4 linked regions of the Saccharomyces cerevisiae S288C genome follow. Changing the gene in region 3 together with the main gene of any one other region gives a genetic interaction. Each region holds a gene or a part of one and is shown on either strand. Other genes may lie near its edges.

What was found.
Region 1: mutations in PTM1 (region 3) and MEI4 together harm fitness more than expected from each alone (negative genetic interaction), as found in Saccharomyces cerevisiae (2 studies listed by BioGRID).
Region 2: mutations in PTM1 (region 3) and CWC27 together harm fitness more than expected from each alone (negative genetic interaction), as found in Saccharomyces cerevisiae (2 studies listed by BioGRID).
Region 4: mutations in PTM1 (region 3) and ATG20 together harm fitness more than expected from each alone (negative genetic interaction), as found in Saccharomyces cerevisiae (2 studies listed by BioGRID).

What each region holds. Positions count from the first base shown.
Region 1 is NC_001137.3:236,990-242,948, forward strand, and holds MEI4 (Mei4p), read right to left. Parts: upstream 2,786-5,959; coding exon 2,723-2,785; intron 2,635-2,722; coding exon 1,471-2,634; downstream 1-1,470. Other genes in the region: SAH1 (adenosylhomocysteinase), read right to left, coding at 1-130; ERG28 (Erg28p), read right to left, coding at 581-1,027; ACA1 (Aca1p), read right to left, coding at 3,043-4,512. UniProt on the Saccharomyces cerevisiae protein: Required for meiotic induction of recombination, viable spore production and chromosome synapsis. Component of the MER2-MEI4-REC114 complex which seems to be required for meiotic double-strand break (DSB) formation.
Region 2 is NC_001148.4:428,211-433,811, reverse strand, and holds CWC27 (putative peptidylprolyl isomerase CWC27), read left to right. Parts: upstream 1-4,195; coding exon 4,196-5,101; downstream 5,102-5,601. Other genes in the region: aldehyde dehydrogenase (NADP(+)) ALD6, read right to left, coding at 1-1,224; YPL062W (uncharacterized protein), read right to left, coding at 1,513-1,917; protein translocase subunit TIM50, read right to left, coding at 2,443-3,873; ESCRT-I subunit protein VPS28, read right to left, coding at 5,157-5,601. UniProt on the Saccharomyces cerevisiae protein: PPIases accelerate the folding of proteins. Catalyzes the cis-trans isomerization of proline imidic peptide bonds in oligopeptides. Involved in pre-mRNA splicing.
Region 3 is NC_001143.9:360,845-367,312, reverse strand, and holds PTM1 (Ptm1p), read right to left. Parts: upstream 4,692-6,468; coding exon 3,120-4,691; downstream 1-3,119. Other genes in the region: RGT1 (Rgt1p), read right to left, coding at 1-1,708; NFU1 (Nfu1p), read left to right, coding at 5,485-6,255.
Region 4 is NC_001136.10:254,783-261,403, reverse strand, and holds ATG20 (Atg20p), read left to right. Parts: upstream 1-2,848; coding exon 2,849-4,771; downstream 4,772-6,621. Other genes in the region: TRM3 (tRNA (guanosine(18)-2'-O)-methyltransferase), read right to left, coding at 1-2,489; YDL114W (short-chain dehydrogenase/reductase), read right to left, coding at 4,874-5,800; IWR1 (Iwr1p), read left to right, coding at 6,278-6,359, 6,430-6,621. UniProt on the Saccharomyces cerevisiae protein: Required for cytoplasm to vacuole transport (Cvt), pexophagy and mitophagy. Also involved in endoplasmic reticulum-specific autophagic process and is essential for the survival of cells subjected to severe ER stress.

The sequences.
Region 1 (5,959 bases), on a different chromosome or scaffold from region 3:
GGACGTCACCGTAAGCCTTTCTGATGGCCATCAAACCTGGCATTTCATGTTCAGCCAATTCGATTTCCTTTCTACCGAAGGCAGCCAAAGAGATATCAGCGATTTTGTAGTTTTGAGCTGGAGCAGACATTGGGAATTGTTCTTTTTGTCAGTTGGGTTATTTCGAGGAGAAGAGGATTTTCAGAAAGAAAGAAAAACAAATAGGAATGGAATCATGGAGTTAATAAACCACGTTACTAAATAAGAGATTGGAAAATCTAAAATACGGCTTCGAGGTCGTTTAATTTTCTTTTTCCTCTGAAAATTTTCTTTCTTTTTCGGCCTTAGCCTGTGAAAATTTCGGCCGAAAAAAAAGCCAACGAGATCACGTGCACAGAAATATCTGCGTTAGAGGAGAGAGGTAGGGATACTTACAGAAATGAAGCCAAATTGGCAGCTTTTTGAGAAATAATCATGAATGATAAACAATTGCTGTTAAATAATGTACGGAAGGTTTGGATAAAGGTTGCTATAGGCATTATATAAATAAATCATCTCTATATAATTTTTTTTACAGGATATGCTTGCCCTTACATCAGAATTACCAAGCAACACCAGTGTAGTATTCTCTTTGTTTGTACATCCAAACCAAAGAGGTGGTTGAGACAACCAATGGACCCATGAATCCCTTTCCCAACTTACAAGTTCTAAAGATCAATAATTCAGAGCCGAAGTGGAATAGGGCAACCATATAAGACATGAAGACCAATTCGAAAATGTGTGGTTCATTCAAGTACATAGCCCCATAGAATCTGATAACACAGGAAATAAAGGTCCAAGTACCGAAAGTTCTTGCACTCAAATGGGTTGTTTCAGTGGGTTTTCTTTCGTAGACTTTACGTGTCAATTCTAAACCAGAAACGTAAGTCTGGATAGAATTGAAGACTGATACAATGGAAATGAAAAGTAACCATTTTGGTAAGTAACCTTTTGGCATTGCTGCCAAGGTGGTCTTGGTTGTAGTTATTACGTCTTGTAGGCTGAACATTATCTGATACTTTAGTGTATTTGAATCCTTCGATACTATGGTCTAGCTAGTGTCAAGAATATAAAAACCTGAAATTAGTCAATGCGTTTACGTCAAAAATAGTAGCAATAGTAAAGCAAAACAACAGGCTTGTTCAGCTTAGTTTTATATACGGGGGTAGAGAATACAATGGATCGTACCTTTTTTTTTGTTTCCTGTTCGTTCCGTCCCCGAACGAAAAAATCATAAAATAGAAGTTTCCTATCGGTAATACCGTAAAGTTTAATTCAGTTCGTATAAGATTAGGTTAATCATGGGCAAGTCCGGAAGAAGCGTTTTAATGTAGGTCTGTTGGGGAAGATGTTGTGTTCACTGTAATTTTCAACTGAAGTTGTTGTCCCCGAAATGAAAGAGCTTTCGATATTTTTGTGTTTTATAATGCGCCTCCTACTGCAAAAGAAAAATTAAATGTTTTCTGTCTCATTGAACCATCTTGACAATCGAAAGCGCGCTATCAAATTTCTTTCGGCAGTAATTAATAAGGCCGCCTGTATATATTTCCTTTTCTTCTGAAGCGATATTTCATGAGCCGGAAATTTTTCCAGGAAAGGTTTTAAGTGCTGCCATTCAATGCTTTCAAATGTCTCGAGCAATGATAGAATAACTATCTTGAGTATTTTCAATAGACCCCCTAACTCTTTTTCTGGGACACCGCTTATTACACTGTAAAAGTTCTTTAAGTAGGTTTTCTTCAAACTCAATTCTCTTTCGAGGTATACTCGACAGTACGCCTTTTTCCGGTTGATGCATATTAGTTTATGCTTCGATACAAATCTAATAAGTACATGTATCAGACTTTCGATGATGATAAGTATGTGTTCAATTAATTTCAGAACAGATACGTATTTTAATATCTGCGGTTCAAATGTTTGGTTTGTCTTGATTTTGATGAGTTGAATGTTAATAATAGAGTAAATAAGGGTAAAATGCAACGAACACAAGCGCTTGTAGTCAACTTTATCACATAAATGTTTGCCATCTCCCTGGTCGTAAAAGTTTTGAAGCCATTTTGGATCGTTTTGGTTCTTCTTCAATAAAATTCTATTAAACAGAAACTTGGCGATGAAATTGAAAACATGAACGTCTATCAGTGTCCTCTTAAAAGAAGAATCAGAATCTATGCGATGCGAATAATGAGAAACTAACAAGATTTGGAGTGTTTGAAACACTTGCGATAACCCTCTAAAGTCAATTTCTTTTGTTTTTAAGCTCAGGATTTTTAGCAGAATTTTATATCTCGGTAAAAACCAGTTGTTTATATCAGCAGTTGATACATCTTTGCTAAATGATTGCAGCTCCTTTAAACCAACTGCATCTTCGAAGCTTTTGTACTTATTCTGGCAAAGGAAATTGTATATAGGTTCCAGATGAGCAAACAGTGATTTATTATTCAAAAATCCATTTTCGAAAGGCGCAACCCATTTGTATATATGTTTTGAGTTTTCCCGAGGATTTATTTTTAAATTTTTTTCACTCTTGAGAGCACCTACATCTTCGACATCTCCTTTCTTTCTTGAAAGTGCCCTCTTCCACAACGTAGGATTCCTGGATTGAATTAAAGCAAAACACTGTCATAGATAATATTCGAGGAGATTACACCTCTTACTAAAAGTTAGTAAAGAGAAAATAGGTTAAGGATGTGACAATTTCACGTACGATTATCCAGTCAACTTCCGATGTTTCCTTTTGTTCCATATCTTCCAGTTTGCCTCTACTCATGTCCTTACTCTTCTAAAAGATTATTTAATGAAACTGTTTCACAACTACAAGATGTTTGTTATGTTTTCTTTTACAAGTCGGAAACATTTAGCCGCCCAGCAATATATATGACTCCGAAAGAAAATGAAAGGAAATACATACATAGTAAAATAAATCGTTTAAACATAAATAATCGTACAGAGGAAAACATTAAGGAAGGAGAGTCAAACTAATGTACTGGGAATTTGGATCTCCCATAAGAAGTATGCGCAATACTTTTATTCATCATATAGACTGGAGCTGCGTATCATTTCTTCAATCATTTTCAGAAACCCGTTAACATCACTATCCTTGTTTTGAAGGCTTTGATAACTATTATTACCACCATTAATTGTGCATTCTTGCATGTGCAACCTCGAAATTTTCTTCATTTTTTGAACCAATTTTTCGTAATTTTCAATTTTTTTCTTCATCATTGTGTTTTCTTTGCTTATTTGGTCAAATTCCCTTTGAAGTTGTAATTGTGACATTTTCTTTCTCTGTCGACACTTGGAAGCGGCAATTCTGTTTCGTTCTAGTAGCCTTGCACGCTTCCAAGCTTTAGCACCGTCTTTCAAGCCTGCAGTATTGTTCTCTATTTTTTGGGGTCTAGCTTCCTGCTTTATTTGGAAGGTTGCTGTAGTGTGCATAGAGGAGAAGGGCGCGGTATGTACGTCTTTCTCACTATTAATATTGTTTTTCAGTGCAGAAGTGGCATCCTTGTATTGTGGTTTTGAGTTGGCATGTGTTAAATTGACATCAGGGCATTTCGATTCGTATGGAAGGCTGCTTGAAATATTCAACTCGGCATTTTGGCAGGAATTATTAACAGTGTGGTGATTAACGCCATGGGAAATTGAAGAATGGACGGATTGATTTTCGATATTATGATCATTAATGTTTTGGCAGGAAGAAGAAGAGGAAACGGAAGAATTAGAGGCTGGAGTACATGGATGCACATTCAATTGAGCGTTTTTCCATGCCTTAGTTTGCATTTGAGCTTGTAATCGGAGTTGCATGTTGATGTAAGCCTGATTCATTGTGGAATCGCCAGATGGGATAGAAGGCGTGGCAGAAGGAATGTCACAAGTGGCTGCTACTGCGGGTATGTTAAGCTTTATATTGCTATCATACGGGGTCATTGCAGCGTAGATATTCTTGCTACCTGTTTGAGGTGCAGCTTCGGGTATGACTGTAGCTTGTTCGTGTGGTTGTGGCACGTTTTGCAATTCGTTCGAGCTAAAGCTTGGGTATATGGCTGCGCTTGGATTTGCCACCTGTTGAGGATTGGGATTCTGTTGCGCCTTAGACGATAGGATCGGAGGCTGACAGTTGTAAAGATTTTCAACCGTTTCTAAGTCTTCGCCTAATTGACTAATCTGACCATTGGAGATAGATATGCGTCTTTTGTACACGGGCTGATCAAACGCTGGTAAAGAACTTTGAAAAATGGGAGGGTTGGTAATGGGAAGATGGCTGATGTCGACGCCAAAGGGTTGAAACATTGGACCCAGGTTTTCTTGCACGCTACGGTCATGCAAACTGTTTTGGTGATGAAAATTGTAGGCAGAATCCACAAGACCAGGACCCGATGGTTGTTTGTATATAAGCTCCTTGTTTGAAGATAGAAAATCTGTATATAAGAGTGGGTTCTGCCTTCCATCTAGGAAAGAATCTGGACTTGTAGCAAAATTATGCTTATAGTCCATACTTTATTTGGTTCCTTAGTCGTTACCTGGTGTTATTCCAGTACTATTAATATAACTCAGTACAATTAGCTGCCGTGAAAAAAAAAAAATAATAAGAATACAGTTTCTGCGCTTTTAGTCGGTAAGCACTCAGATTGAGAGATCTAGATTTACTATATTTTAATAATAACCAGTTAAAGCAGATTTTGAAGATGAACTAACATAAAAAAAATTGATGAATTATGTAACATAATCTTCTGTACCACCAGGGTAAATCGCCAAAGAATATCTGCATCTAAGAACAAAAGAAAATGGTGCCCTAAATATCTTTCAGATGAAAAACTAATTATATATCACTACTAAAAAAAGCCAGAAAAAGAAAAAAAGTAAAATAGAAAATAGAAAATAGAAAATAGAAAAATAGAAATTAAAATTAAGAGCATTTTAAAATTAAGTCTACAAAGTAATACTTGGCATATTGCTTAACTCCTCACGCAGAGCCTTAGCGTACCACTATTTTATCTGATACCACAAAAAGCTGCGCTTTGATGGCCCAACGGGGATATAATCGCGCCACTGCTACTCATGTGCTGCAAACTAACAGTGCCAGCAGAAGCGAGCATTGAAAAACTAAACTTTGCCTTGTTCTGCTTACTTCATGCAGAGGTACAGCTTCGATGTCCTAAGGTTGAACATCATCTTGCTTCGATTTCGGTAGTAATCATTTTGCCTGCACGCCATTGTATGAATCTCGTGCCACTCCCTTTTTAACTCCGAGATACAACTTTCCGTGGGGAAAAGTACCGTAGTATTGTAATTTCGAGAGCATCTTTACGGTAATTGCCCCTCCACACCCAGACGTTACACAACCCTTAGTAAACAGCTGCGGAAAAAAAGTGTGCCTACGCACTGTACGACTCCTGATTGATTCCTTCATTAGCACTGACTGGCTTACGGTGCACATAAGTTATTAAGAGCAGTTTAATTCAGTTGCTGAATAGTCACGTTGATGAGCACGAATACCTGAAACACCAACGGTAATGAATCAATTGGCCTAGCGCATCGTTGTGTGCTTGGGTGTGCCGCACAATGGCAACCAAATACTGCTCGTTCCTGCACTTCGAAAGAAAAGCAGCCAAAAGAAAACGCGTTTTCCTTTGCGAGCGCTGGTTTGTTCCTCAGTTTGATAGAGGCGTTCAATTGGCAATTTGGGCACTAACACCGATGATAACAAGATATCTTGACTTTGACCTCTGATATTGAGGCGTTCCAACCAATAAGAGGGGCTGACGGTTGAAAATAAGGGTAAAAGAGAGCTATTCGGGTTGGGTCGCAGATTAACTTAGAAAACATGTACATGCAAATGTTGTTTTTTACGTACAGAAAGAGGCTGATGGAACCAAAGGAAGCAATAATTTGCACCTTGATATTTTGCGCTTTCTGCTTTTGAAACCTTATTATATGCCTT
Region 2 (5,601 bases), on a different chromosome or scaffold from region 3:
TGGTCCAAAAATTTCTTCCTTAACAATTCTCATGTCTTCATTAACATCGTAGAAAACGGTTGGTCTGATGAAGTAACCCTTGTCACCAACTTTTTCGCCACCAGTTAAGATCTTGGCGCCTTCTTTCTTACCGATATCGATGTAGTTCATAATTGTGTCGAATTGTTGACGGTTAGTGATAGCACCTTGGAAGTTAGCCTTGTCAAATGGATTACCAACTTTGATTTCGGTTTCCAAGTAAGCCTTGAAAGCAGCCAATAGTTCGTCGTAAATACCTTCTTGAACGTAAATTCTAGAACCAGAGGAACAAATTTGACCAGCGTTCTTGAAAATACCGTTTACTAGATTTGGTAAAGTCTTCTTAATGTTAGCATCGTCAAAGACCAAATGGGCGGACTTACCACCTAGTTCCAAAGTGATTTTCTTCAAGTTAGATTCAGAAGAGTCGACAGCAACACTCTTACCGACTTCTGTAGAACCGGTAAAAGCCAGCTTTCTGATTCTTGGGTCGTTGGTCAAAGCAGCACCAACAGTTCTACCAGGACCTGGAACGATGTTGACGACACCAGCTGGAATACCAACCTTCTTACATAAAGAAGCAAAGTATAGGGCATTTAAAGGTGTGACAGCAGCGGGTTTCAAGATACAGACGTTACCCATGGCCAATGCTGGGGCGATCTTCCAAGCCAACATCATTATTGGAAAGTTCCATGGAATAATTTGACCACAGACACCGATTGGCTCTAAGGTGGTGAAGTTCATGTAGCCGTCACCGGTGTTGATTGTTCTACCGTTGACTTTGTCGGCATAGGCAGCAGCATCTCTTAGACAGTTGATTGCAATGGTAACATCCCCACGGGCTAAGGCCAAAGTTTTACCATTGTCCAAAGCTTCAATGGAAGAAACCAAGTCAATTTGGCTTTCCAATTCGTCAGCCAACTTACTTAGTAGACGGCCTCTTTCTCTTGGGTCTTGGGTAGCCCATTCAGTGTCGTGGAAAGCACGGTCGGCACATTCGATAGCATATTCAACATCTTCAGTGGTGGCAGAAGAGACCTCACAAACGGTGTTTTCAGTGGAAGGATCTTCGACGGGATAGGTCTTACCGTCTTGAGCTTTCATAAACTTGTTGTTAATGAATAGACCGGTTGGTTGCTCGTATGTCAAACCATTTGGAAGTGTGATCTTGACTGGTTCAGCAGTGTCAAAGTGTAGCTTAGTCATTGTATTCTGATAGTATGTGTTTGTGTATGTTAAAGATGTTTCTTGATGTTTTTTCTTCTATAAAACAAGAGAAGTAAAAGACTGAACACTTCGAATTGAATATTACCAAACTTCTTATTACATTTATATATGATATCAAGAACTTGTTAAACACGCCAGGCTTGACCTCGAACGGTGTTTTGATGTGTTACTCAACCGTTAAATCGCTGTTTGAGCTGACTAACAAGGTTGCTTGTCTTGAATCCCCCTCACCCCGAATTTATTACGAATTTGCCCACATGGTCGGTGCTATATCGCATTCGTTGCACTCACCGTTCCCAAGAGGAGATCAATGTTACATACGTTCCCGATGCCCAAAACGGTAAAGTTAAAGCGATATAGAAGCTGGATGCATATCTTTTTACACGTCCGCGGCGCGCCCACCCTCTTTTTTCTTTCTGGTTCCTTTTCGGTCGTTTTTCTTTTGTCGGCTGCCTTATTCCCGTGGGGATGAGGCGAGCGCCGTTTCGGCTTGGATACGCCATATGCAACAATGACGTCTCGGTGCTGGCCATGCCCCTCATTTATGTCGAAAAACAGGCCACTGCCCCTCTTTTCTGCGGCCCGGGCAAGAGGAGACCTCATCAGCCACGGCGACGTGCTGGTTGCTTCTACAATGGTATCTTCACCTTTTACATAATCCAATTCTATCATGCCCTTACGTGAGGGGCAGTGTCGTATGTGACGGCAGTTCCTGACCTGATAGTGTGTCTATTTGTCTGTTAGCGTCCGCGGAAAGTTGTGAGTACGGTTTTTAGTTTAGTTTCCACCCGGGATTATACTTTTGGCTACCCTGACTGGAAGGCGGCGGCCTTATATTCGAATGAACATGCCAGGCATTGTACGAATTGAAACTTTTTTCGTATGACGTTACGAATAATTCCATTCGGCCTAAATATTCTTTTTTTTTGGATTTTTATGCTAGTGAAGGAATATGAGATATGCAAAGCGCATCAGATCATTAGGTGTGTCTACATCGTTAAAATTTAACATAGAAAAAATAAATAGGCGTGTTTGTACGTAGTATGGTGATGTTAGGAGGTGCAGTGGTAGTAAGTTAGCAATATACATAAGTTTTATTCACATGACAGTAACAAAATGAGGGTGTGGGGAGTGTACAGGTACATTTACATACACACATAGATACGTAGATACATGAGAAGAGGGTTTACATGAAAATTATTTGGATTCAGCAATCTTCTTCTTTTTCTTTTCCTCTTCAAATAAGGCGTCTACCTCCTTCTGCTTCTCCAATTGTATTTTCATTTGTTCTTCTGGCGAAGGCAAGTTACCTTCAACATAGTCTTTCAGCGTAAATGTTTGCCCGCCCATTTGCTCCTGCTGTATTCTAATTTTTTCCTTTTCTTCCTCAATCATCTTCATGAACATTAAATAGTTCTTTTGTCCTTCTTCATGAATCAAATCGAGCGGGAACTTGGTGCTGCCGCCCAGGGAATTTCCGAGACCTAGTGCCGTCATTGCCCAGTTGCCACCAGATTTATGATCTCCGTAAAATTTATCCTTCAATTTTTTCACACGATGATCAAATTCTTCTGCTAGGTTCTTCTTGTCTTCAAAGCTGTTCAAGATTGGTCTAACATCCTTGGTTTGTTGAGTGGCAAGGTACTCCAAAAATGGAATCAATCTTACTAATTTGTCATCAGCTTCACCATTCCATGGCTCCATTGGAATAGCATTTTCAGGTTGCAATTTGTAACTGTTAGGGTCAGTGTCAATAATGATTACTTTACTCAAATCTCTATTCAATTTTGACAGATCCTTAATGTGCACACCGTCTTTGTAAACACAGTGTTCCTTGAACAAATTATAAGATACGAATGCATGGATTGGATCTAATTTTTCAGCGATTTTGTCAGAGTACATCATATAGTTGGATGAAAACAAAACAATTTCGTAATACTGCGATAGGTAACCCAAGAAGTAGTCAGCACCAGGTCTTTTGGCCGTTCTCCAACCATGCTTTTGAGACCACTCAGAATGAACCAAAAAATCTTCCAATGTGATAACAAGAGTTAATGGCCTTTGGTACGGTGGTGGTGGTGGTGGAGGTAGTAAATCAGGGAAAGGTGGCTCTTGGAAGTAGGTGAACATTGAGTTGAACCTGGCCTTGAATCTTTTATACATAAGTGATAAAGTGTAGCCATTATCGATGTCTTTCTTCAATTCTTCAGACTCTTGAGGCTCCCAATCCCTTGCCATGTAGATTGCAGTACCTGTCAACGCAGACAACGAAAAAATGTAAAACCAGTTAGCATACTTTTCTCTTTTAATATCTGTAGAAGTTTGTCTTTTTCTTCTAGATTTTTCACTTTTGGAAGAAGGTTCATTCTTGTCCTCTCCTCCTTCTCCTGATGTTTCCTCGTTTTTGCCTTGGCCCTTCTCATCGACGTCAACACCGGCCTTGAACAGCATATCATCTGTAAGAATGGATTTAGGCTTGTCGTCTTTTGTTTCTTTTTGTAAAAAACTTGAATAACTTGTTAAAAGTCTTCTGGATGCTTGAACCGATGTTAAGGTGTTGGCGGCAGATGGCACAACCCTAAGAGCCCTTGAATTTAGTCTCACCGAATTTCTTAAAATGGACAGCATTGCAAGCGGGTGATTTTTGGAAGTTTATTCTAGCTGTGATGTGCTAAAGCAAAAAATCAGTTATGCGCCAAAAGCTAATCACGAAATTGAGTGGATGCTAGAAATTACCGTTCCGATTAATCCTGACGTTATGTTCGTTTGCTGAATATATCTCACTTTACTGAAAGAACTTCCAATTTTTTTTTTTTCCTTTTCCGCTGTAAAGCGTCTGAAGAGAAAAAAAGGTTCAAAATGTCCTGAGAATAATTTATTGAATAATTTATTATTCAAAGCGTATTACAGGAAACATGTATGATGAGTTTTAAACCAAAGTAAGAATGCTATGTCCAGTAATATAGAACCTCAGACAACAGCTAAATGTATACTGTATACAACAAAGGGGAACATTGCCATTGAATTATGGGCTAAAGAATGCCCTGAGACATGTAAGAGGTTCTTATCTATGCTCTCAGATGGCACATTCACCAATGGAGAATTTAAAGAGTTAAAGCCAACACAGTGGCTAATGTTTAATGCAAATAGTACTGGTGAGTACCGTACAGTTGCTGAGGAAAAAAATCCTCGTATACGCTTCAATAGAGATGGACTCTTGGGATGGGATAGACGAAGGAACACATGGTTTATAACTGTGCTGGCGGATTCTAAGCACGTACTGAACGATTGTAATGTATTTGGCAAAATTGTTGGGAAATCTATTTACATCTTTAGAGAGATCTTGGGCGGCGAAATTGAAGCTTCCTCCCGTGACAATGATGTCAAACGATTCATGTATCCTGCAGTTTTGAAGGATGTTGAGATTACCATACCATTCTTTGAGGACATCTTTGGATCAAAAAGAAGACTGGAAGATAATGAAAAAAAAGAACAAGAGCCGGCAAAGAAACTTGTGAAATCAGCAAAAGTAAAGATGGTTTATGAAGATGAGCAAGAGGATGATGATGGTGATGTTCAAAAGCTTAAGCCAAGAAAGAGAATGATTCTCCCAGCATGGATCAAAGATGATAGTCGCAGTGAAGGAATTAAACTAGACGCATCCTTAGATCAGCCACAAGAGGCACTAATTAGGGAAAAGACGGAGTTGCATGATAATGTTGATGAGGCAACCACTAAAGAAACGGAAAGTCAAGAAAACATCAAGGAAGAACCAATGGATAAAAGAGAGCGGGAAACTTTGGCAATGTTGTCAAAATTTCAAGAACGAATAAAAAACAAGAATATTCTAAAGTGAAATAGAAACGCTTGTGTACTTATATATGTTATCATAATTTCTATTTGTTTATTTCTTAATCCAGTAAAGCATAAAAACTTTTATAGGCTAGTTCTAGATCAAACAGAAGTTCTCTAATTTGTGTTTCAGTTAAAGTGTCACCAATTGAGAGTTTATTTATTCTGACAATCCAGTCAATGAGTTTTGATCTATTCTCAAAATCATCCCTGGTGACGCGATTTATGCTGATTAACAGTTCAGCCAATAAGGGATGTAATTGATCTTTTGCATTATAGTTTAGTTTCAAAGCATCCATTACAGTGATGAAATTACCAGTGGCCTCAGCGACGTATTTAGCATTAAACTTTTTGTCGCTAGAAGAACTTTGTTTATTATCACCAGAGGGAGCCGATGTGGTAGTGGATATCGCATGTTCTGCTGTAATTGGTATGCCCCTCTCCAGTCTTGTTATTGCGTTCGAAGCAGTGATGTTGTATGTATCGCAGAACGCTTCTATGGAT
Region 3 (6,468 bases):
TAAACCACAAAATAACATATGAATTGACTTCGTGTATATTGGAAATTGGCTGTGTGTTAACTAACAATAAGTCACTGGTCAAGGTCGTTTTGTTTAAAGGTATGATCGGAAATCCTACATGTATGAACTCATAGTAGGTGTCTATTAGATCTACATCGGATATCTGTCCATACGCGATAGTTGATGAAGTGGTCATTGGGTGAGCAGAATCTTTCGATGTTATAGATATAGATGAATCTCTCTTTGGTTTTGTCTTCTTAGATACGTAACTTTTTCTGCGTTTTTTTGTACTTCTCTGTGGCGTTGATCCAGGGCTGGATGCTTCCAAAGCCGCTGGTGTAGTTACAGATTCTTGGGAATGTTGAGATGTATCCTTAGAAGAACCGCTATTATTGCTGCCATTATTGTTGTTAATTTCACCATTATTATTCTCATTACCATTCAGCCTGTCCGTGGATAATGTTACTGATACGGGGGCTGATTGTCGCCTTTTATTTCCATCCAACTCAGATGAAAATTGCGGTACCTGCTGTCCTTGAGGTCTTTGTGTTTGCTGTGCAACATTTACGGGGTTTGTAGATGTGCTAGTAAACATGGCAGGTGCACTGGGAGACATAGCCTCGCTGGCGACTGATCCTTGTCTAGAATGAAAACCATTAGCAGCGAACTGGCCAAAAGATGATATCGATGGGTTGTACGGTTGCTGCTGGGAAAATTGAGAATACGAGTATAGGTTCTGTCCTTGTTGCAACTTTTGTTGGTGTGCTTGTGGCTGCGATTGTTGCTGAGGTGGGGGAAGCTGAGGCTGGCCACCTAGTAAAAGAGAATTTGAAGTATTTCGTAGCAAAGAAGGTATGGAACTTGATCTTCTTGTCTGTTCCCCATTATGATCATCAGTAGGAGCTAGTAAACCAGAAGTTCTTATAAAGGACCAATAACCACCACTACCAGAGGCACTGCCTGAGCCGGTGACACTTCCGTTTGCATTTCCAGAATCATTAGTATGTTTATTCGTTATGGGAGACTGTTGAACGGTGTTATAAGACAACTGCTCGTTGGGATTTAATGTTCTTACCGATATATCACTTTGCAAAGAATCGATAGATCCTTTTCTTTGGTGTTGAAACTCATGGTAGGGCACTTTCCAAAACTGCTGTTGGCCAATATTACCCGCGGGCATAGTTGATTGTATCGCTGGATTTTGGAAACTAGGAGGAATGCCACCAGCCTGGGGAATGTACTGTGTCAGTGGGGGCAATAAAACTGAATTAGATCTCGAAGGGGTACTTGGAACTGTGTTACTGTTTATACCGTTGTCGCCGCTATTGCCCGTATTATTATTCAGGGTATTGTTACTATTATCAAACGTATTATACGACCTTGAGTTATTGTGGTCTTGTATTTCGTTAGTCCTTGGATGGCTGGTGCTCCTCGTATAGCCTTTCGAGGGTCCCCTTTTCAAAGGAACCCTATCAAAACTACAACGGTCTCCATTCCTTTGGCAGTTTGAGCAGACCCCCTTTTCATCTTTGTAGTCACATTTAATCTTCTTTTTACGACACTGATCGCAGGCCCGGGAGGCCTTTGTTCTTTTCTTTATTGCGTGACTTGCTGCTGCTGCGGAGTCCATATCGTCGGGACTATTGGATGTACCACCGTTCTTGGTGGAGTCACTGGAGTTAGTCGAAACAGTGTTCAGCTCGTTCATAATTTGAAATATATTGGAGTTTGAGAGAAGAGTACAGCTTCTTGACAAATGTGAGAATCGAAGAAGCGTGTTATTATTGCACCAATGAAAATTGCGGGAACGGTTCTGCACAATATAGTACAAGGGAGAGGCGATTTCCAACGAAGTCTATGGTGAAAGAGCAGAATATGTTGGATGGACAATACTCCAGTCTCAAAACTCCAAGCACGGTTCCTAACTGATGTGTTCTTATTTTGACTTTTTTTATTTTTTGAATTTTTACTAGTTGCTACTATTTTTTTTTCCTGTTTTTCCTTAAAAGGTCCCTTCCCATAATCGTCTTGCTTAGTTAGCTACATGAAAAAAAAGGAAAAAACTAAAGGAAAATGCACAAAGCAGCGACATATTTTATGAATCCAATACCTGCCATTTCAAGAAGCTCGGATTATTGGTGAGGTGACGTAGCTTTTGTTTGATGTACTGTTGATTATTCGTCTCTGGTGCTCATAAGCCACGTCACAGAAAACGATAAACGATGTTAGCGCACATGCTACATGACTTGCCAATCGTGGTAAAGCTTCTGATGAAAGAACCAACTTGCGGAAGCGTGCCCATAAAATGGTCGTGCGGCTTAACGAGCAATCACACCGAATAAAGTGATCCCGTAAAATGATATTCTACTCGGATGATCCGTTCCCTAGGAAGCGTAAGACAAGTAACTACAAATGTTGTCGCATGTATATTCTATTACTCAGAGCGTTTGACAAAAAAATCTTCTCCCTTTCATTAAAAACGAATCGAAGAGCTGGGTTTATAGCATTGTCACTAAGGACGTGGTCTCATCATAAACAAATAGAATATACATGTTATGTTACATAGGAAAGACCGAAAAAGCCAGAGAAAGCTAATAAGGTTAGCACTGATGCAGCGCGCAACCTTACGTTATCTGGCTTCGTTGTTCATCCTTGAACAAAGGGAATTCCTCACTTCTGGTCTTCCTGCGTCTCTTCTCATAAACAAGTACACATGAAAAGTCTATGGACCAATTTTCTCTTCCATTTTATAGTCGATGAACAGAAACTTTTCGCTTGTTTCGGTTTGATATAAATCATCTTATCACCGAAAAAAAAAAAACTCCAGCGAGCGGCTAAATAAATACAAAACGAAAAAGTTAGGTCTAGAGTATAGCATAGCTTTGGTGACTACAGTTATAAACAGGTAAAAGCACGCACAAATAAATGAAAAGAAACGTGCAACGCATTTATTTATTTATTTATTTATATTCATATTTATATTCATATTCATATTCACATCGCATTGAACAGAAGTGCATATGGTTCATAATTTCTTTCTTTTCGCTTGTAAACATTTCGTGACTGCCCTCGAAGAAACTATTTGTCTCATCACCTAATCAAATCTGCTGGAGGTAGCGTTATTTTGTTGGAGAGGGAGACACTGGCCCGTGGCCTTGGCTATGGTTATTTACATTATCGTGTCCTTCTTCATCATCAGTAAAATTCAAATTGAGGTCATCCTCGTCTATGCCACGCTCACCAGTGATGATACTTGCGTCATCTTGATCGTCAAACGATTGCAAATCGCCCAAGTCAAAGTCCGCGACATTTTCTGGGTCTGTGGGTAGTTGTTGGGATGCGGCTAGCATGTATGAAGTATCTGTTGGTCTCCATAAGAACGCGATGGTAACGAAAACAATGAAATACACTAACGTAGGCCAGAAATCAGTAACGAAGAACCTTGACCTCCAGTTCTTCTCAATCATATCAATAGTGTTCATGCCAACGTAAATAAATGACGAAACTATACTACCAGCTAGTACACTCAAAAAGGACGCATAAATGATGTATAGTAGCTTCTTGTACATGTTCAATTTTACGATCTGCCTTTGCTCTTTCAAATAGATAACTGTTTTTGTCATGGATCTAATAATCATGTAGTAAAATATGATTAATGCAAGCGCCATAGGAATCAAGGTGATCAAGATTAGTGGAGATGGTGCCTCCATGTCGGTCAAATAACTTTGGATCAAAAATCCAATGCAAATTGCATAAGTTAACGCACCATACATTTGGCAACGCCTCATCAACGTTTTATTCAACTTAGGGTACACGATACCGTAGCCCAAAGCGATAATCAATAATAGGAAAAATGAAAATGTAACTTTACCAGCCGTCAATATCGACAAGAACACCATATAAACTTTTATTCCCGCAGTATCACCTTTTTCATTTTTCAAATCATAGTAAGCCCATACAAATATGGTTTCTGCGGTTAAAAATACAAAAAAGGCCAGCAAATACTTTTGTAATGGTAACAATTCATGCTTGTGCTTCCAGAAGGCGAAGGAATATAACGCCATCGCCACAACGTATGCGACCGCCAAAAGACCATATAGTGGCAATTTGTTGATCTCGGTGCCCGCAAGCTGACCATAAGCATTCCTGAAATTCACCACAGCGTTGAACTTGGTAGACGTCGATGATCTGAACGCAGTAACACAATAAAATCCGGTTTCTTTTATTGGGTATCTAGTATCATGAAGGCCGACCTCATTTTGAGAAAACGTCATGATTGGATTGGCCAAAGATCTATTTGTGGAAGTATATGGATCATATACAACATCTTGAACAATAAACTCATCACGATTCTCCTCTTCACAAATCCCGATATCAATTGCATAATCATCACAAATATAATACATTTCTTCATCCGGCAATTGCACACCTAAGTGCTCAAAGTCTTGGAAATCATAGATTGCAACGACTAAGCCTGGATCAGACTCATCACTCAATCCACTTATTTTTTTAAGATTGAATGATATAAACGGGTCTATTTTGCCCTTCCAATCTTCTTTGGAATACATACCTGCGCATACTTGATAATTCTTTTGACTTATCTTTTCCTTGTTAGCTTTTACGAACACTAGAAGGTAGCATAAGAAGCAGGTGAATAATTGGAAAGGTCGGCAAAACTGATATACTCTCATTGTGCCCTTACACTCTTAGTTTCTGTAAATTTACTGCCTTTTTACCAGCTGTTTCTTGAAATTACCGAGAAAATATTCTATTTCAATTTTTAACCTGCAAAACCTGAACAGAATAGTTGATCCTCTTGACTATTAGTTTGAGGCTAAGTTTTTTTTTCCACTCTCCCTATTCCTACTCCTATATATATCTTGCTCTATCTTTTTCTTCAAGTTCGTTTTTTCACACACTATTTAAAAGACCAAGCTTATGTGTGACGTGCACGGGTGCAATATCTAAATCGGGCAAAACAACTAAGCAGTAATTAAAGTACCACACTCTAGCCGAAAAGAGGTATACATGAAGGTTGAAGATTCGGAAGCAATTCCCAAATTATGTTCAACATTACGGATATTACAATGTTCAATGCGCATAATACACCATAGAAGAAAATTGGCACTACGTATATACTGTCCATTGTTCTTTTAAACACAAAATTGAAACGTCTGCGGTCTCTTGAGGATAAAACAATGTACATTGAGTATAGTAACATGCTAAGCGTTAGCTTGTATCATCAAGACCGTCAAAGCAGGCATTTCATCAAATCTATAGGACCACTTAGCGGAGTCCTGGTGATTGTAGAAATAGCCTTCTAACGTATCAAGTGATAAATAATTTAAGTTTTCCGAATTTCAGTGATCTACTTACAATATTGCTTATTAATCATTATAAAAAGAAGCGTATTTAGCGGACTAATTAGAATACATAAGGCATTCTCAGCGTAATCTAAGCAAAAAAGCAAGAAATTGACTAACAATGTTCAAATCAGTGGCTAAATTGGGGAAGTCTCCGATTTTTTACTTAAATTCTCAGAGATTAATTCATATTAAGACTTTAACAACTCCAAATGAAAATGCTTTAAAATTTCTCTCCACAGATGGCGAGATGCTACAGACGCGTGGCTCCAAGAGTATAGTTATTAAGAACACTGATGAAAACCTCATCAACCATTCCAAGTTAGCACAGCAAATTTTTTTGCAGTGTCCAGGAGTGGAGTCTTTAATGATAGGTGATGATTTTCTCACTATTAATAAAGACAGAATGGTCCATTGGAATAGTATCAAGCCTGAAATTATAGATTTGTTAACCAAGCAACTTGCTTACGGTGAAGATGTTATATCCAAAGAATTCCATGCTGTCCAAGAAGAAGAAGGAGAAGGTGGCTACAAAATAAATATGCCCAAATTTGAACTTACCGAAGAAGATGAAGAGGTCAGCGAATTGATTGAAGAGCTGATAGATACAAGAATAAGACCAGCCATCTTGGAGGACGGCGGTGATATCGATTACCGTGGGTGGGATCCAAAGACTGGAACCGTTTATTTAAGATTACAAGGTGCATGTACCTCATGCTCTTCTAGTGAAGTGACTTTGAAGTACGGTATTGAGTCCATGTTGAAGCACTATGTGGATGAAGTGAAAGAAGTGATTCAGATCATGGATCCTGAGCAAGAAATAGCATTAAAGGAATTTGATAAGCTTGAAAAAAAGTTGGAATCGAGTAAAAATACAAGCCATGAAAAGTAAATATTCCGTCCTTCAAATGAAAATACAAGATGAGACGAAAATAAAAGGAAGTGTGTATATACTGTCTTTACCCTCACTATTACTTGATAGTCCGTACATGTTTCAACGGTCATCATGGAAAAAGGGTAAAGCACTCAACTTTTTCCATACACTAAAAACGGGTGCCCTTTTTACTGTGTTATTCGTACCATTATTTATTCACTTATTTATTTA
Region 4 (6,621 bases), on a different chromosome or scaffold from region 3:
AAAACTAATCTTTCACTATTAATACATTCCCATATAAACGAAAATTTCTCAAAAATGAATTTCACTATGAAAATATCATCATCAGAAACAGATGTGGAGCAATGGATGTAGGAATCTATGATAAAGTACAATAATTTACAGACTGCCAGGTTCCCCAGATAATTCCCATTATCTTTGTTAATATTCTCGTCAACTAAGCGTAGTAGTATGTGAAGCTCATCATCATTTCCTTCAGAAGAGTCACGATTTAAGGCGTATGTTTTCAGGAAGGTATTTAAAAGTTCAAAGTAAGAAGAATAAGCGCTGTCCTTCACTTTAAAGCTCTCTCTTGAACACTGATTGGCAGACTTTTTAACCATTTCATATAGGCTCAGAAGGTCATTAAAATTTAGCTCGATTGTATCGAACCTACATTCATAAGTCTTCTGGTAAATTTCAGCAAAGAACTTGAATTTATCAAGCGAAAATTTTTCCATTACCGACTTAAATAAATTATTCACATTGATGGATTTCCATGTAGATATTGTAAAATTTGGGTAAGACAACAAAGCGGTTGCATTTTCATAGGTATAACCGTTCGAAGGTTCGCCTGAAAGTAGCTGAGTTAGAAAAGTAACTGCCTTTGAAGTGTAAACGGGTATATCTTGCTTCGACTTCGCAACTTCAATTAAAAAATCGGGAGTAATATCAATATCCTTGAAATCGAAGATGATAGATGCTAAGAGGTCAAAAATAGTATCCTTTCCGATGTTTGTCGTCAAGTTTTCTTTCGCTTGCAAATCGTCAAAGTGAGAAACGGCAAGATCCCTATAATCTTCAAAAAGAGGCTCAACATATTTGTATGTCCCTCCCTTTAACTTAATGTGTGAAACTAATGTAAACAATAATTCAGATGCGGAGACAGATGGATCAATGTACAGTAAGAACTTCAAGTAAATTGTTTGGATTGTAGTTTCGAGAACCTCTTCTTCGGCTGCAAAATCGTACAATTTCCTGATCAGACTCAAATGGTCAGAGTTGATTGTTTTCTGTTTGTTATTCTGGAAGAAAACTAAGATACCGTAGGACAAGTATATCCTAGAAGGGTCAAAAGAGGTCCCTTTTTCCACCAATAATTTCAAAATTTCAAATAATATATCTGATATGCCTTCTGTTGTTTGGGAAAGTAAGTTATTGACAAATAATGAAAGTTTTTCACCATGGGGACAACTGACACCTTTTACATCAAAATAATGAGCGGACATTGCAGCTGGAAGAAGAGTTTTTGTCAATAATGGCAAGTTTGAAGAGAATGCTGACATATTTGTAATCGAGAACATTAACGTCATCATGTATTTTCTGACACTCTCCATTGATGATTTCAATCCCGTAGAAAGCAAGATAAGGCCCCAACTATGGTGTAAATGCTCGTTATCAAAAATTTTTATTATATCTTGTTTGGCCGCTTGTATTTGATTCAATGATGTGTCCAGAGCAATCATTTCATATAAGGTGGTGAATTTCTTCCAGCTACCCAGCATCTCGATATTTGCTAGATCATTGCATTTATAAAATGTTGTTTGCAATGTTATACCATGAGATGACAGTTTTTGAATTGTTAATTTAAGAATTGAGAGTGCCAATTTTCTGTGTTCGTGCACATCATTATCCAGCTCTGTTTGAATGTGCCTCCAATAAGCATCGGTCTTTATATAAGTAATAAGTTCAGGAGACAACTCTGCTGCTAAAAGGAATCTTAGGAGAAAAGATAAACTGTTCTTTTGCTTCCAAGCTTGTTGGGAGCCTTCAGCGTACAATTGTTTGATAAATGTCCAAATGAGCTTATCAAAGTTACTATCGGTATTGCAGCATTTCGATAAATATTTGATATGCCATCTCATTAACTTGGAGCAGGAATCAGCAATCTCTTCCGAATTACAGCCTAACAATGGAACAATGATAAAATCTAGGCATTTGGACGATATACCATTCTTACATTCGTCAAATAAATATACAACTTCTAAGTAGTGAAGCAGGCTAAGGATATCTAAGTGCAGATTTTCATGCTTGATATTAGCGTTTTGTTCCTCAGCAAAAGAATCGAAAAATGGTTGTACAATCTTTTTTCCAAAGTTGTCATTGAAGAGATGTTTATAGTTTTCGCTAATGATGTCATTTAACCGGTAGCTCATCCACACCTGAAATTTATGCCATACACTGGGTAAACAACATAGTAATTGTGCAGAAGTTCTTAGCGCCTTGTTCATTTCAGCCCTCGAAGAGCGAAACATTTCCCTGGCTTCACCGTCTATACTAGCATACGCAATGACCTGCTCAGTAATTTTTTCAAAGATTGGTGTTTCAATGTTGCTGTCCGTCGTTATATCCAGTGGCGAAGTTTCAATCAACTCCAGCACCTCTTCTAAGCTGTCATTCTGAATCAAGTCTGATATAAGCTTTAGTTGCTCTTCGCGTGGTAAATATTTGCAGATGAGAGCACCTCCAACCATTTTGCTGGTAAAAAAAAGGTATAGAGTTTGTAACGTTCGTTAAACAATTCTTTTCACCGGATTTTAATAAGGCTTGGCTTATTTGCTTACTAGCAATTATATAGTTACAATAGTGCTGTTTCAATCTTGCTCATCGCCATGGTGAAACTTTTCGAAAAACACTTGAATTTTCATTCACGTGATCTACATTCCCTTACCCGACAACTCACCCATTGTGCCCCCTTTAAGATATGGCTATTGAGTAAGCCAATATTTATCGATTTACAGCAAGTCATCTCCAAAATGAAGAGATGACTAGCTCGAATACTGGTGGTGCAATTGAACATACCATCTAGAAAAGTTGTCTTCTACAGCACACAATGTCAGACTTAAATGATGTCCAAGAAAATGCTAAATTGAATTCGGAAACTCGGAATACAGGAAAGGCTGAACCACCTCATGGGACAACTGAGTATGTGGCAGAGGCAGAAATTTCTAAGAATGGAGTTGGATCGCCAAAAAAGAGCCCAAAAAAGGGTAAGGTTGGAAAGGGGGACAATAACAAAGTAGAAACTGAGTTAGTACACACAGCCCTGTTAGAAAAAGACAACCCATTCATGGAGGAGGGGCCAACAGGATTCACAAAATCAGCTTTATTAGAAATACCCGGTATGAGAAGCCATAACCTAAAGAACCCGAATGAAGATTACGAGGATGACTCTGAGGGATTATTGCCTTTAAACCAAGAATCGAATGCAGAAACATGTAGAACAAGTCTTAGTGGAAGTATTAACTCCATGAACGGAGAGACCTCTGCGTCAGAAGAACCTTCTGTAAGTAATAGAAAGAAGTCCGCTAGGATACACATACTTGAAGCGAAAAGAGTTTCCGAAGGTCAAGGAAGAGCCTACATCGCCTATGTTATTCAGTTTGAAAATTCTACCGTTCAGAGACGTTACAGCGATTTCGAGAGTTTGAGAAGTATCTTGATAAGATTGTTTCCTATGACGTTGATACCGCCGATTCCAGAAAAGCAGTCAATAAAGAATTATGGTAAGTCAATAACTGGTTCGAGTTCAAAGTATTTGCTGCCCTCAGAAGGTTCTGGTTCAGTAGATCTATCATTGTCTGTGATACATGCGTCGGTCAATAATAGTGATGAAAAGTTAATACGGCATAGGATAAGAATGCTCACTGAGTTCTTGAACAAACTTTTGACGAACGAAGAAATCACAAAAACATCTATAATTACCGATTTTTTGGATCCTAATAACCATAATTGGCATGAATTTGTTAACAGTTCGTCCACTTTTTCATCTTTACCGAAGAGCATCCTCCAGTGTAATCCACTAGATCCCACTAACACCACTAGAATTCATGCCATGTTACCAATACCGGGCTCCTCGTCACAGTTATTGTTGAATAAGGAGTCCAACGACAAAAAAATGGATAAGGAAAGAAGTAAGTCGTTTACTAATATTGAACAGGATTACAAGCAATATGAGAACTTGTTAGATAACGGGATTTATAAGTATAATAGACGAACCACGAAGACTTATCACGATTTGAAATCGGATTACAATGAAATCGGTGAGGTATTTGCACAGTTTGCCCATGAACAGGCTCAAGTTGGGGAATTGGCCGAACAGCTTTCTTACTTAAGCAATGCCTTTTCGGGGTCCTCGATTTCTTTAGAAAAATTAGTTGGAAGACTATACTACAATATAAATGAGCCTTTAAATGAATCTGTTCATATGGCAACTTCTGCAAGAGAATTGATCAAATACAGAAAATTGAAATACCTGCAAAATGAAATGATTAAAAAGTCTCTGAATTCCAAAAGAGCACAGTTGGAGAAGCTGGAAGCGCAAAACAATGAATATAAGGATGTTGACAAAATAATTGACAACGAAATGTCTAAAAGTCATACTATTAATCTGGAACGCCCTAATAATAATACAGGTAGCGGTGGGAAATCATATGGTGGCAAACTATTCAATGGATTTAACAAATTGGCATCAATGGTAAAAGATTCTGTGAAGTATCAAGAAACAGATCCGCATACCGCAAGTATCAATTTGAAGAAAGAAATTGAACAACTGTCTGAATCATTGGAAGTTACTGAGAATGATTTGGAGGTCATTTCAAAAGTCATCAAAAATGACCAGCTACCTAAATTTTCTAAAGAAAGGGAAGTAGATTTATCAGAAATTTTAAAGCATTATTCCAGATATATGAGAAATTATGCCCGTCAAAATTTAGAAATTTGGAAAGAAGTCAAAAGACATCAAGATTTTGCATAGTATTATGAGCATTTTTTTTTAGCGTTATAGCATACTTGATATATATATATATAAACAACGTGAAGATCAAATAACGTCAAATGTATTAAATAGACTAAAATATTATGCACTTCTCTTCGGATTTATTGCTCGCGGGCTGGTTGACGTTACATGGTCCATTCCACTGAAATGTTTTAAGAGATGCCTATATGGCCAACTCAAAGTTTTGAAAAAGGGAACTAGGTTCACATAATATGGGGCATTTAGTGTTTGCAGATGATTATGCTCCATCGCAGAGATTATCGCTAGTGCCAGTTGGGAAGGTATGATGTCAGGAGCCAATAACTTAGATGGTGTAGGGACATCAATAAACATATTAGTTTTGATTTTTCCCGGGCACACCAGTAGTGTTTTTATTCCAGTTTTATTACATTCCGTGGACAAACTTCTGAAATGCCTGCTCATACACTTGTGAAAACCAATCATTGCTCCTTTTGATGCACCATACGATGTCAGCCTTGCAGGAGTCAGTTCTCCGAGGACTGAAGCAATGTTAATTATAAAGCCTTCCCTATTGTCTATCATATCTTCTGCAAATGTACTGATGATTCGGTAAGCACCTATTAAGTTTATGTCGATCAATTGTTCTACCTCCTTGTTTGTCATATGTTCTAACTTTTTGATGTGAGCAACACCAGCATTATTTATAATTATATTAATGTTGCCATGATCTCTTTCAATAGCTTTTTTCAAATTTTTAATTTCATCTAGACTTGTTATGTCGCATTGATAGTAGAAAATGTTATTATATTCTACCTGAGCAAAAGTAGGAAATGATTGAATATCTGCCACAATAACTTTATTAATTCTTCTGGAAAGTTCCTTTGCAAGTTCAAATCCGAGTCCACTAGAACCACCGGTTATTAGTGCAGTTGCATTTTTAGAAAGGATGGAAGGGTTGTAGCTGGGCAGACTTAGGATGACTGATGGAAAATCCTTGAGGTGTTTTGTAGTTCCACTCGCTCTATTTATTTTATTCTTGCGTACCATAATTAATAATATTTCTTACCCATAAAACTATGTTAAATATGTCACTGAATCTCTATTGAGGTGTCCTTTTGATGATGCGGTTTCAGATATGAGAAATGTTCATTCAAGAAGTGTCACAAATTCTGTTCCTCTGCTGACGCCCGCTACATATTGACGTTCAAAAATATAGAAGAAAAAGGCAGTAAAGCGTTAACATAAGAAAACTAAAGAGCAAGTCTGATTTGGCACTACCACGCTTCCAACAGAAGTAATTGTTGCTTCAAATAAGTTCGCAGCATGTGGATTCAAGTCCACAGATGCGATATTTAGGAGCCCAATCAGATAATATTGATTCCGGGTTATCTCTTGTTTGTGTCGGCACAGGGGATTTAAATTGTGTAATGCTCAAGACAAGTTATTGATGAGAACAAGAGATGGTATATAAAACTGCTCTCTGAGGTATAGCTTTTGTTGAGGTAGGCATACAAGATTTCGGGAATGAGCACTATTAGTACCACAACGGCACCTGAGTTTATCAGAGTAAAGAGAAGAAGGGATGAGGATTCTGTGCAGGCATTATGTATGTGTTGTTATTCTACCGATATAACAAAAATGCGTTTGACTAACTAAGTTCATCTGGGACAATTCAGTAATTGATGAGGGGAAAAGAGTGAAGAAGCAGAAGTTCATATTTAAATTATCAAAGACTGTGAGCTCTGAAAGCTATCAATCCGAGCAAGAGTCTTCTACGCCACTCTTAAAACTGGCTCATGAAGATCATCGACATTTTGTATTGGAACAAAGAAAAAAAAGTCGTAGAGACTCAGATGATGAAAAATCAC